Linked DNA regions of Callithrix jacchus. The protein of the gene in region 3 interacts with the protein of the main gene of each other region in a biochemical or structural test. Links are inferred from orthologs where the notes say so. Each region holds a gene or a part of one and is shown on either strand. Other genes may lie near its edges. The genes, in order: SMARCA4, SMARCA2 and SIN3A.

Region 1 (4,182 bases), on a different chromosome or scaffold from region 3:
CCTGCTCTAGTTGCTTCCTGTTTCCCACCCAGGGGCAAGGGGGCTCTTCAACTGAAGCCATGGTCAGTCCTCGGCCTTGGACAGGGCAAACTCCCTCTGAAAGAGAGTATGTGAAGCCCTAAAGAGCCGGTTAGAAAGCATAGCTGGCTGGGCAGGACTAGGACCACAGGCAGAATGGGTGGGTGTACATCTCACCCTCCAATATCATGCTCAGAAGGCTGGGGTGGAAGACGGGTCAGTCTGGAGACATGAATGGGCTACACTGTGAGTTGAGCTATCCCTGGCTCCCTGACCTGCTGGGGACACCACCACGGGCACAGGCACTAAGACCTCTGCTCTGCTCCTGGCGGCGGCAGAGTGGGATGCCTGAACCGCACTGTGCAGCCTGCGGTGCTTACCATGAACAGGTCAAACTCCTCTTCATGCCGGGCGATCATCTGGTTGACAGTCTCATCGTCGGGCACCTCATCTTCCTCCTACAAGATTGCAAACTGTCAGTGCCGCTGCGGAGGGGCCGGGGTGGGCGGCGGCCGAGCTCAGTGGTGAGCGGTGGCGTCCGTGGGAATGAGCTGGTGGTCCCGGCGCGGCTGCGGTGGATGGGGACCCACACGGCAGCGAGAGGCATACACACGCACACGCACACGCACGCTCCGTGGGACCAGGGCCCTTGCTGGCCATCTCAGCCGAGAAGCCGAGGATTGAATGGGCATGGAGACTGAACTACCCCTCTCACCTTTAGAGGTGGCTCCTCCAAGTCGGGGTTGACGCCCGCTGGCGGAGGGGCAGTGTGGGCGAAGCTGGCACTGCCGCTGCCCGTGCTGCAGTGTCTACTCTGTGGATAAATAGAGGACTTCAGTCTCCAGGGCTGTCAATCCGGCGTCTTTCACCAGCAGTTTAGAAAAAAAACCACTTCAAAGAAAAAGCAAGTACTCATCCTCTTTCCGTTCAGCCCACACTCCCTTTACTCCAAAGGGATGCAAAAAAAATAAGAGTGCAAAAAAGGTAAAAAAACAAAAATGAAAGCCGCTCATGCGTCCACCACTCACGCTGGGGGGGTTTGGGGCTGGCGCTGGGCTCACCTCGTCCTGCTCCTCGTGCTCCAGGATGGCCTGCAGAAAGGCGCGCCGCTCGTGGCTGGAGGACTTCTGGTCAAACATGCCGGCCTGGATCACCTTCTGGTCCACATTGAGCTTGTACTTGGCGGCGGCCAGGATCTTCTCCTCCACACTGTTGACCGTGCAGAGGCGGAGCACACGCACCTCATTTTGCTGCCCGATGCGGTGGGCTCGGTCCTGCGCTTGCAGGTCCTGGAGGAAGAGGTGCCAGTCAGTCCCAAAGAAGCTCAGAAGGGAGAAGGTGGCCTCCGACATGAGCTGGAGAGGTGTGGTGTGAATGCCACCCTCAGCCTGGCAATTCTGTCCAGACCAACCTGCAGCCACAGGAGCTGGGAGCCTGGGTCGCCACGTGTCCCTGGGGGTAGGGGGCTCTCATCACGTTCCTCCAGAAGTGCCACCTTCTACCTTACTGGGACCTGACAGATACTCGGGAAATCACCAACCCCCGGGGGGTTATGTTCTCAAGCAGCTCCTGTGGCAGCTGCATAGCTCCCCAGTGTGGCCTTGCACAGCTGAGCACCGTTTACAGGATGGGGTCAAAGCCCAGCTGCGCTCTGGCGGTGCTTGGTTTGGCTGCAGGCCCTGCCATTCTCTCACTGTGCACACAAAACCGGAACCAGGTCTCACCTTTGTGAGTCTCAAAACTCCCTCTACTGACATTGGGCCCACCCCGTGGCTACTGTGTGGCCTCTATGAGTGAATAAATACCTGGAGCATGGTCCAGTGACTGGTGCAGTCAGGTCCCAACAACATGGGTGCCGTGGCTGGGCTGTTAGCTTTTTTGGGTTTTTTTTTGGGACAAGGTCTTGCTCTGTCACCCAGGCTGAAGTGCAGTGGCACGATCTCAGCTCACTGCAACCTCTGTCTCCCGAAGTTCAAGCAATTCTCCTGCCTCAGCTTCCTGAGTAGCTGGGACTACAGGCGCACACCACCATGCCTGCCTAATTTTTGTATTTTTAGTAGAGACAGGGTTTTGCCATGTGCTCTGCCTCCCAAAATGCCGAGATTATAAGTGTGAGCCACTTATAATCTCCTGGGCTGCTTGTTTTATCATCACCCCAGCACAGGGCAAGGAGGCTCCCATGAAATCCCGTCTCTGCGCCCAGGAGCTGTAGGGACAGGCTAAGCACCAGTGATACTCCTAAACTCAAGACTGGCACCCATGTTGTGGCAGAGGCCACAGCTGGTGGGGTCCCGGAGTGCCTTGCGTCTGCTGCTCAGGCCTCCTGCCCCTGTTAGCACGCTTCCCGGCAGGGCAAGCCTTCCGCAATGTGCCCCTGGCCCTGGGATGTAGCCTCTGCCCACTGCCGGCCTGCCAACAGGGAGGCATAACCCCACCACCTCTCGAGAAACTGACTAGTCACCAGGGTCTGGGCAGAAACTATACCCCAGCCTGATCACAGGAGGGGACACCAGTGACCAACAGGCATTCACCCATCAGACGAGTGACAATTTAGACAGAGAACACTGGCGCCCCCAAGCTGCAGGGAAGGACAGGAAATGTTCACACCTCAGCGGTGGGAGTGAAACTGCTTTGGTAGAAGCAACCAGCACGTGAAGGGGACAATGCTGGGCTGGAGCGAGCCCACGTCTGAAGGCTGAGCAAACCTTAGGGTATTGGCACAAGATGTCCTGGGGCAGCCATCTGCTGGCTGATTAGATGGCCAGGCAGCTTGCAATGTGCACCTGGCAGTTGACACCCACTGCTCGGTGGAAGAGACACCTGCCAGGCCACGCCGCCTCTGTTAATCTCAGTACACACGTTCACGAAGGCAGACGGGCTGGCAGAGACTCGGGACAGAGCAGGGCTGGACAGGAAGGGAAAAGGGACTCCTGACCACGTGTCACTGGTGTTTGCGTATTAAAAATAACAAGAATGTGACAGCCTTACAATGAAACACAGAGAAGAGTTTTGTGCATTTTGAAACTCTTGTAGCTTTGTAACAGCATGACCTGGTATCCACCTACACTGAGGTCCATGGGGAGTACATGGTTATGGAACAAGAGGAGGAAGTAAACAAGGGGCATGGAGTTCACCCCCAGTTGTCTGAACAAGTGCCAGCGTGTGCAAGCACACAGCATGCCTGCGGGGCTGGCCCACAGTGATGGCACGGGATTGATTAGGGTACCTTCCACCTCCTTCTCACTGGGGCCATTCCAAGATTTAAGAAAAACCAAAATGATAGATGGCTTCTACACTGCTTTCCCAATCAGAGGGAAAGGCTGTTTGTATTTTGGGAAACAGGACCCCTTCTCTGCTGTCTCGATGACCTATGGAGATATGGGTGTGGCTCTTCCTGGCTACTGGAGGCCAGGACAATGTGGAGGAGGCTGGAGGACCCTCAAGCCAGGGTCAGTGTTGAGGTTTCACAGGCACCACCTCCTTTCCCCCCAACCTGCGCTCAGCCTGCTTTTACCTGGTGAGGATTCCAGTCGCTGTCGAAAATGATCACAGTGTCAGCCGACTGGAGGTTCAGGCCGAGCCCCCCGGCCCGGGTGCTGAGCAGGAAGATGAAGTACTCGGAGCCGGGCTCGTTGAAGGTTTTCAGCAGCATGCCCCGGTCTTCCGCCTTCGTGGTTCCTGACAGGCACAGAGAAGAACAGGGTCAGTGGGGTGACCAGGGGTGGGGAGCAGGTGCCAGGGAAAACCTGCTTCTGATGCTGCAACAGAATTGGTTCCCGCCAGCATCCCTAGATCCCTGGCTCTGCACTCTCCACACAGGCCTGTGGGCCACTGGTGAGTACCCAGATTTCCAGTTTTACCACCCAATGCCTCTCTACCCACCTCAGAGATTAAAATAGGCCTTGGTGGGAGAACTAGAGGAGGCAGGCCTGGAGCACAGAGCCTGGCACCTAACTCACAGTCACGCCACAGGGTCAGCACGGCCGCCACCACCACAGCCCTGGACTCTCCCCTACTCTGCCATGTGCCATTCCATGGGGAGCAGAGACACAGCAGCCAATGCTGGCAACACCGCTGCCCGAAACACAAAGGACCTGGGTGTGGGCGGACAGTGACTTCGGGTTCACCTGCCTTCAGCCTTGTCTCAACAGGTTTTGTGATTCA
Region 2 (3,591 bases), on a different chromosome or scaffold from region 3:
AAGAATGTGCCCACCTTTGTGCTATTTTTTTGAGACTTTTAAAAAAGATAATGAGATGAATATTACTATCAAAGTGTGAGCCTTGAAAAGATCCCGGCTGAAACAAAACAACTACAAAATAATGTTAGAACAATTGGGAAAATGTGACTATGGCTTGTCTATTAGATATCAGGGAACTATCAATTCCTTTTGTGTGATACTGGACTGTAGTTGGCTAGGAGATACCCTTTTTCTTAGATGCAAAGTATCATGATGACTGCAACTTACTTTCCAGTGGTTTGGTAAAATAACAGGGTAAGGATAAATCATTGTTGAATTTCAGTTGGATGGTATATAGGTGTTCACTGAACCAGTCTTTTGATGGAATATTTTTGAAACCTTTCAAAATCAAAAGACATAAATAGCAATAGAGATTTTCTGATTGATTAAGAAACAAAACTGAAGGCTGAGCAGGGACTTCATACGGCTTGATCCACGGCAGCATCTCTTCTGTTGTTGAATAGTTTAATGTCATGGGTGCAGCAGGCTCCCGGGTGACACACCTGGACCACTCCAAGGAGACTGGCTCTCTCAGCCTCTCTTTTTTTCCCTATCAAGTGTTCTGTAGCAAGAGCCTGCCCAGCCCTCTCCGGAAAACTGCCACTTCAGACACAAGGGTTTCAATCCTCTAGAATGCAAAGAAAGAGGCTGCATTTGTTGAGCTAAATTATCTCTTTATTAGGAAAGCACCAACACCACATTCTTGGAAATTACTGGAATTTTATTTGCCTCAGGCTTATGACTTGCAACCAAAGACATTGTGCAAAGAAAGCAAAGATTAAGTACACTTTAGGGAGAAGGAGACGATACACATTGGAAACATAGGAGATCAGGGTGACAAAAGAAGCCATCCAATACACTATATAGATTGCAATATTCAATAGCGTTTTCAACAAAACTTTTTTTTAAATCAAGAGCAAAAAAATTAAGCAATGTTTACAGTAGACATAAATCTTATACAATTCAAAAAGCTTTTGTTCAGATCATAGAGCATAAAATGGAAAAATGTATATGCAGGTGAAATCTAACTACTGTACATTTATCACCTATTAAAGTTGCTTATATGTACCACAGTGTAAAAAAACAATACCGAACAAATAAAAACCTCAAAAATTGCCTGATGAAAAATAAAATAACCAGTGGCTTTTAATGGCTTCTCCTGGTTATCAGTGCTACAAAAGACAAAAATCTTCTCTGAACAGGTGATAAAACCAGGCACAATCAAACCGTTACCAAATTAGACCCACCCATAGAAATATACTATCCACCCACATATTTTCCATCAAAAGCTTTTTCGTTTGTTTCAATCTTTGAATCTCTGAGGCCCATTTGGTCACAATATGTTACAAATATCTGTGGATGTGTGTGTTTTTTACACCATGATATCATATGTTTGTCTGGCACTATCCTAAAGCTAGTTTATAGATGATGATGATATAGAAACAACCCAGTGCCTATATGACAAATGAACTCACTGGGTAGAAATGAGACAGGGGAGGAAGGAATTCAGTTCTACCAAGGAAAAAAGGTCCATATCGATCACTCATCATCAGTCCCACTTCCTTCTGACTGTTCCTAAAAGTAAAAATAAGATAAAATGAAGTAACATCACATGCGATAAAAAGAAGATATAACAACAACACACCATTAAGAGGCTAGTAAGAAAAAATAACATTTTGGAAACAACCCTCCAAATCTCTTTCCGTGGGAGCACAGAAACACATTAAAGAGGCATCAGCAGCCTCTAAGCTGCGAAGATTTCCTTATTGAAAAACCCCAAAGCAGTGTGCACCCTCTGTGCTGTTTGTGCCCTTTCACTTTAGCTGGAAAGGTTTATGGTGAATATTTTCTCGTTTCCAGCCCTAGGTTTTAGAAAATTGATGGGAGGAAAAAAAAAATACCCTGCATGTCATGTCTTCTATAGACAATGCAGTATTTTAAATGTATTCAAAAATGCTTGCATCAAGGGTTAAGGCTGGAGTGAGAAAATAATTCTGAAAACGGTCATGTGTTGAAGGTAAATCCAACTAGCACATACACTAAAAGGGAAATGTGTCTTTCCAGAAAGAAAATAATGGGTGCCAGAAAACCATCCTCTGGAAAGTGAATGGATGAAATGAAGGGCAATTCAAAAGCCAAGGTGTCGGAGTTTCTGCCCACTCTTCTACCTTGCTGACCAGTCAGGGATAGCACACTAGACTGAGTTATGTTACTTGGGTCCAAATTCCACCCCTGTATGTGACCTGTAGCAAAACACACATAACCTAACCATTTCTGTGACACATTTTTTGAGAGTGACATCTATCTCATGATGCTGACATCAGTATTTAATATGCTAACACACAGGAAGGTACCTATTTAAATGTCTGTCTCAATAGATGCTCCTCGAATTTTTCAAATATTAAAAATAACACCCCTGGGTACTTAAAAACTCATGAGTTTTTACACAGTCCCTTAAGTAGCAACTTGAGCCAGTAACTGACGTCATAACACTTTTTCTCATTCTTCCATCTAATCTACTGCTATGTACCAGGCACCATGCTGGGTGTGATGGATATAAAATATTAACTGGCTGTGGGGTAAACCATATTTATAAGAAAGCATTTGGGAAGATTAAAAAGGGGGGAGAATGAACTTGATTTAGTAGTTTTTCACTTTTGAAGACTATTAAAAAAGCAGTAAACAAAGCCCCAATCGTTTATTTTAAATCATACAGCTCCGTTCACATCCCTCAATAATGAAATCTCACTAATCCTGACATTTCCACCCCTGGGTAATAAAGCAAAAAGGCTGAAGGGGCATGGAAATGCGAGAGGCCAGCGAGCACTGGAGAGGGCATCTCTGCCTTCATCCCAGTTGGCTATACTTACACGTTCATCCTGCTCCTCATCGCTGTCAAAATCGCTCACTACAGGTTTGGCTTTTCCTCGGTTTGGCCTTTTCTTGCCTTTCCCTTTGTCCCGGCCTTTCTCATCTTTTTTATTGAGCTTGATTTTCACCTTGACTGATTTTGCTAAAACCAAAGCAAATAAAATAGACACGAATAAGTAATCACAAGGAGATCTTTGTATTGGTGATAAGACTATCAGCAACCTGCAGACAACACAAGCATCCCAGGGTGCCCAGAACATTTCCAGTTCATGCCTGTTCTGCGTGGTTCTATCTAGTTAGCGACCCTTTCACTTGCCAACCTGTCTTCATTTGGAAGATAAATGGTATAGTCATGCTAAGCAGGCAACAAGAGGGACTGAGGTCTCCAGGAGGCCAGCCAGGCTGGGTCTTTTTCTTGTCTCCCAGTGGCTGACCAAGGATAATGAGGGGAAGTGTTTCCTACTTTGTAGAGGTGTTTGGGCAATCATTAAATAGAACTTTTGTATTAAAAATATAAATAGATGTAAGGAGTATTTTTAAAGGCCAATACTTTTACTATGTAGATTCAAGTAGTTGAATAATATTTTTAACATAGAGGTACAAAATGGAAAGTAAAAAGAAACACTTTGAATGCTTCTCTTCCCCCATTCCTAGTCTCGCTCCCTACAACTCTCTTGTAAT
Region 3 (4,282 bases):
CCTAACAGCCACCGCCCTGGCAAGCCTCCGGAGGGCGGAGCGTGAGGCACAAGTACTCACGATCTCCCCGGTGGATCTGGAGGCATCCTAAGAACTGAGAAAGGAGAGGAAAAGATTAAAACAGGCCACGGTATAAATTAACTTTGGGGTCATGTCACACTCAGAGAAAAGATAAAACTTCCGTAGTTGGGGACATAAAACGGCTGTTCACCTTCTCCTTGGCCAAGAGTGTTAATGGCAGTCCCTGTGCCCTCTCTGGTGTAGGTAACAGTGCCTCGAACACACAGTGAGACAAAGTGCTTTTAATTCCTAGTCTGCTTTTATTTATTCACCAAATAAAGCGTGGGCCTGAGCTGACTTCACTTTGAGGGGACACTCTCCCAGCGTCAGGAGAGGGGGCGGGATTAGGTTTTTACCGCACTCCAGAGGAAGCCGAATCCTCCTCCCAAGGGACAGGCACGGCGAACCCACTCCTGGGTCCAACTCTGTTCTCCCTCTGCAATCAGTGGAAATGGCCAGGAAAGAGCTCTGGCAGCAGGTGGGCCTGACTCCAGTGATGGCTTCGAGCCACAAAACCACGACAGCGAATTGTGAAGTTCAAGGGGAGTCGACAGGTGGGAGCAGCCTCGCCAGTAGCCAAGCCCTGTCCCGGAACGGAGCTCTAAAAATAAGACCAACGAAGCGACCCCTGGGCCAAACTGCTGGGATGCTAGGAGGAAGTGGCACTCCAGCAGAACCGACCCAAAACTCCTAACTTTGCGCCCCCTTCCACCACTAAACTGAGTATCACGGGGCAGGCTCACCATGGTATCAAAAACTACTCAGAACCCAAGCCAGCATTAGGCCGCTCACGACTTCCCGTGACCACAGGGTACTACCTGCGCTGGATCTCGCCAAAGGGTCCCAGGCCAGCGCTCTAGGTTGTCAAGAATCTTAGACACAGCCAACTAAGGACGGCAGCTACCTGCCTAGGGAAGAACAAACGCTTTCAGCGTCTACAGAGTTCTCAGTTTAAGCTCAGGGAAGTCAAGGGGCGCGGAAATAGACAAGCCACAGGGTCAGAACTTCAGTACTTGGCCCCGGCCACGAAGTGCAGATCTCAACCCCTGCAGAACCTCCGGAGCTTCGCTACCGAAATCCACTCCTCACTGTAATCCCCTGGCTTCACCCCGAAGGCTACCAAGTCTAGAGCCTCGGTGGAACCTTTGTGTGGCTTCTCGGCTATCCCCGCCCCCCTCGCCAAGGGCGCCGAGCCTAGGACTTCCGGGCGGGAGGGCAGTTCGAAGGAGCGAGGCGGGCCTCACACATGTGCCGAGCGCGCTCAAGAGCGAAGGGAGGAGGCGGGGAACAAGAGTGGACTTCCCACTCCAAGCTCGCAAAGCCGGAGGAGGCCGGGCTACTCGTCCCACCAATCAGAGGCGGGGGCGGGACCCTGCGCCTCTTGTCAGCGGCAGGAACCCTCCCTCCTCCCTCCGCGGAAAAAAAATCCTAGCAACTTAAACTCCAGCCCGGCCTCCCGATAGGCGGAGCTCGGGAGAATGCCATCCAATCCACTTCCGAGAAGGAGGAAAAAAGGGGGTCTCACCCAGCCAGTGGAAGACAAGAGAAGGCGGGGCCCCCGGGCGAGCCCGAGGTAGGTGGGAGAGAGGAAACGGACCCGCCCCTCAGCTCCCCTCCAGGCGGGTTGCACAAGCCGCCGGTGGAGTAGATAGTAAACAGTCTGGGTCGAGGAGTGTTGGCAGGGGCCGCCTGGCGCTCGGTGGACGGGAGCCCCTGCGCCGCCTCTCCCGGCGTTGCCCCGCCCGGCCGGGACGGTTCGCGCCGGCGCTCCGCCTACCCGCTCACGGCCGCCATCCCGGCTGACAGGCGCGCCCCCCGCGCCCCTCCCGCCCGCTGATGCATTTCCTTTTCCCGATTCCGAGCGTGGAGACTGTTTTCCCAGTTTCCGACCTTCACTGCCCCTTTCAGGCCACCCCCTCGTGGGCGCGCACACGCCCGCGCCCCCGCCCCATCCGCGCGGAGCGGCCCGCAGTGGCACCTCGCGGGAAGGGGGAGCCCGGCGGCGGCACGGCCGGGGGAGGGGAAAAGAGCAGCAGTCGCCGCCGCCGCCGCCTTGGGGTGGGCGGGGAAGCAGGCAGCTCCATGTTTGCAAGGAGATCAGCCGGGGCCGCGGGGCGAAGCCGCCGAGTTCCTGGGGGTTTTCCCCACCACCGGTGCGAGCTCCTCGCCGGCTCGCGGCCTGCCGGGTTCTGGCACCGAATGCTGATGACCGCTACGGCCGGGGAGTTCGGAGCCTCGGCAGCTCGCGGGGTTAGCGGCGAGGCGCAGCGGCTCTTTCCGGTGGCCTCTCCCGCCCCCGGCTACCCCTCCCGCAAGTCCGGTGTTGCCCCCGCCCCCCGAGTCCATAACAACCGCGGGCCCACTGTGCCCGCGCCTCTCCAGAGCGCGCCCACCGCCCCCTCCGACAAGTTTGCAGGCAGAAACAAAACCCTCGGGGCGGCTGCCGCCCTTGCTCAGCGTGGGTAGTCGGGAAAGCCGCGGGCCCCGGCTCGCTCGCTAACTCCAGCTCTCAAGCAACTCCGGGCGCCGCAAGCTCAATGGGCCCTGCCGACCATGCTCGAGCCGCCGCCCCCTGCCGAGCCTGCAAGCCGCAACCCGGGCCCGGTTCTAGTCGGCGTGTGGAATCCCCCTTTTCCTTCCTAATGTTTTTCTTTTTTTGAAAAAGGCACAACAGGAGCGGGGGTCTCCTGCCCGCCCCTTCTCCAGTACGCCGCCAAAACCTACCAAAACCGACTGCTCGGTGAGATAAACTAAGCGGCACTGCCGGCGCAGGGACGACCCAGGCCGGACCGACCCCCTCCCCACGGCTCCGGCCCGGCTCGAAACACACACACAGGCGAGCGGGCGGCGCCAAGAGCTCTCCTTCCTGGCCTGTCCCTCGCCTACCTCGGCCGCGGGACTCCGAGCCTCCCCTCAGCTCGGTCCCAGGGCCCGTGGGGCTCACACCACGTCGGGCCGGCCAGACCGAGCGGCCGGGGGATTAGCCCCCCAAACGACTGAGATTGGGGGGACCAAATTAAAAGCAGCTGTTTAACATACCTTCCGAGCCAGGCGAGGAGTCCTGAATGGGGGGGAACGCCCCCCACGGGCCATTGGCTCCCCGGAGCTCACGTCAGTCACCCTGGGCCCGCCTCCGCCCTTCGCCCCGCCTCTTCCCCTTCATTGAATGCTCCCTCCTTCCAAAAAATATAAATAAATTTATTAAACTAAACGCTAGTGAGAGACGTATCCGTGGTAGAGGCCCTTATAGCTTCCACACCGCCGACTGGAGTTTCTTGAGGTCCTCGGACTGGAAGGAGGCCTTCTGGGACTCGGAGATCTTCAGGGTGGATGCGGATGATGAGCCAGCCGGGCTACCCGGCCCCAACTTCCTTCACACACACAACCTATTTGGAGCTAGACAGTATAGGAGGTAGGTGCACCCTAGGCACTGGCTGAGGTGGGCAGACTCCTCTGGCTGTGTGACCTAACCGTGTCCGGTCCACTCTGTTAGGTAGACCTAAAAGCGAGTAACGCAAACGGGAAGCCCTGCTTCCGCGGGCAGCAGGCACTTGTCCCTACTGTGGGTGAGGCAGACATTCATACTGCATCTGCTGCTAGGTGCAGTTACAGACTGGGTGACGTGCTTACTCTACCCCTCCAAGGGCTCCAGATTCAGCCGAGGAGAGTCTACGTAAGGCACTAAGGCAAGGCAGGAATGTGTATGTAAATAGACATCCATAGGAGCTCAGAGAAGAGAGATTCCTTCTGCTGAAGGAAAATTGGTTTCATGGAGGAGGTGGCATTCAAGTTGGGTCTTAAAGATTTCATCAAGCAGAATTGGAGGGGCAGGTCATTGTCAGCAAAGGACACAAAGGGGTAAATGCAAAAAAATGACCTTCATATGTGGCTATAGCCATAAAAAAGGGTTGGGGGTGTGGAAATGGAACCACTTTACAACTTTTAGTTGGGTGAAATTCTTGGATGTGCACAGCCGAATATGCAGGCAGCACCGTCACAGGCCCACAACTATAGTGTAAGATGTTTGGCACCCTGGCAGAAAGATGGGTTCTGACGGTGGACTGAGAAGTGCCTATAAGCAGCAAGGGGAGGCCCAGAGGCTGTTGTAATACTGCGTTTGGAGACTACAGAAGTGCCTCTTGTGGAAGGAATAGCTGGGGGAAGAGAAGGCTTCTTTTCTCTATCCCAGCCACCCAGTCTGAAAGCTCTCCCCACCTTCAGC

Evidence for each region.
Region 1: the proteins of SIN3A (region 3) and SMARCA4 form a complex in vitro, tested with the Homo sapiens proteins (2 studies listed by BioGRID). The link is inferred for Callithrix jacchus from reciprocal best matches to the Homo sapiens genes SIN3A and SMARCA4.
Region 2: the proteins of SIN3A (region 3) and SMARCA2 form a complex in vitro, tested with the Homo sapiens proteins (2 studies listed by BioGRID). The link is inferred for Callithrix jacchus from reciprocal best matches to the Homo sapiens genes SIN3A and SMARCA2.

Annotation. Positions count from the first base shown.
Region 1 is NC_133523.1:10,186,418-10,190,599, reverse strand, and holds part of SMARCA4 (SWI/SNF-related matrix-associated actin-dependent regulator of chromatin subfamily A member 4), read right to left. Parts: intron 3,697-4,182; coding exon 3,533-3,696; intron 1,308-3,532; coding exon 1,080-1,307; intron 833-1,079; coding exon 734-832; intron 477-733; coding exon 399-476; intron 1-398. UniProt on the Homo sapiens protein: ATPase involved in transcriptional activation and repression of select genes by chromatin remodeling (alteration of DNA-nucleosome topology).
Region 2 is NC_133502.1:108,678,021-108,681,611, reverse strand, and holds the end of SMARCA2 (SWI/SNF-related matrix-associated actin-dependent regulator of chromatin subfamily A member 2), read right to left. Parts: intron 3,053-3,591; coding exon 2,910-3,052; intron 1,615-2,909; coding exon 1,579-1,614; 3' UTR 693-1,578; downstream 1-692. UniProt on the Homo sapiens protein: ATPase involved in transcriptional activation and repression of select genes by chromatin remodeling (alteration of DNA-nucleosome topology).
Region 3 is NC_133509.1:22,403,483-22,407,764, reverse strand, and holds the start of SIN3A (paired amphipathic helix protein Sin3a), read right to left. Parts: upstream 3,128-4,282; 5' UTR 2,947-3,127; intron 1-2,946. UniProt on the Homo sapiens protein: Acts as a transcriptional repressor. Corepressor for REST. Interacts with MXI1 to repress MYC responsive genes and antagonize MYC oncogenic activities. Also interacts with MXD1-MAX heterodimers to repress transcription by tethering SIN3A to DNA.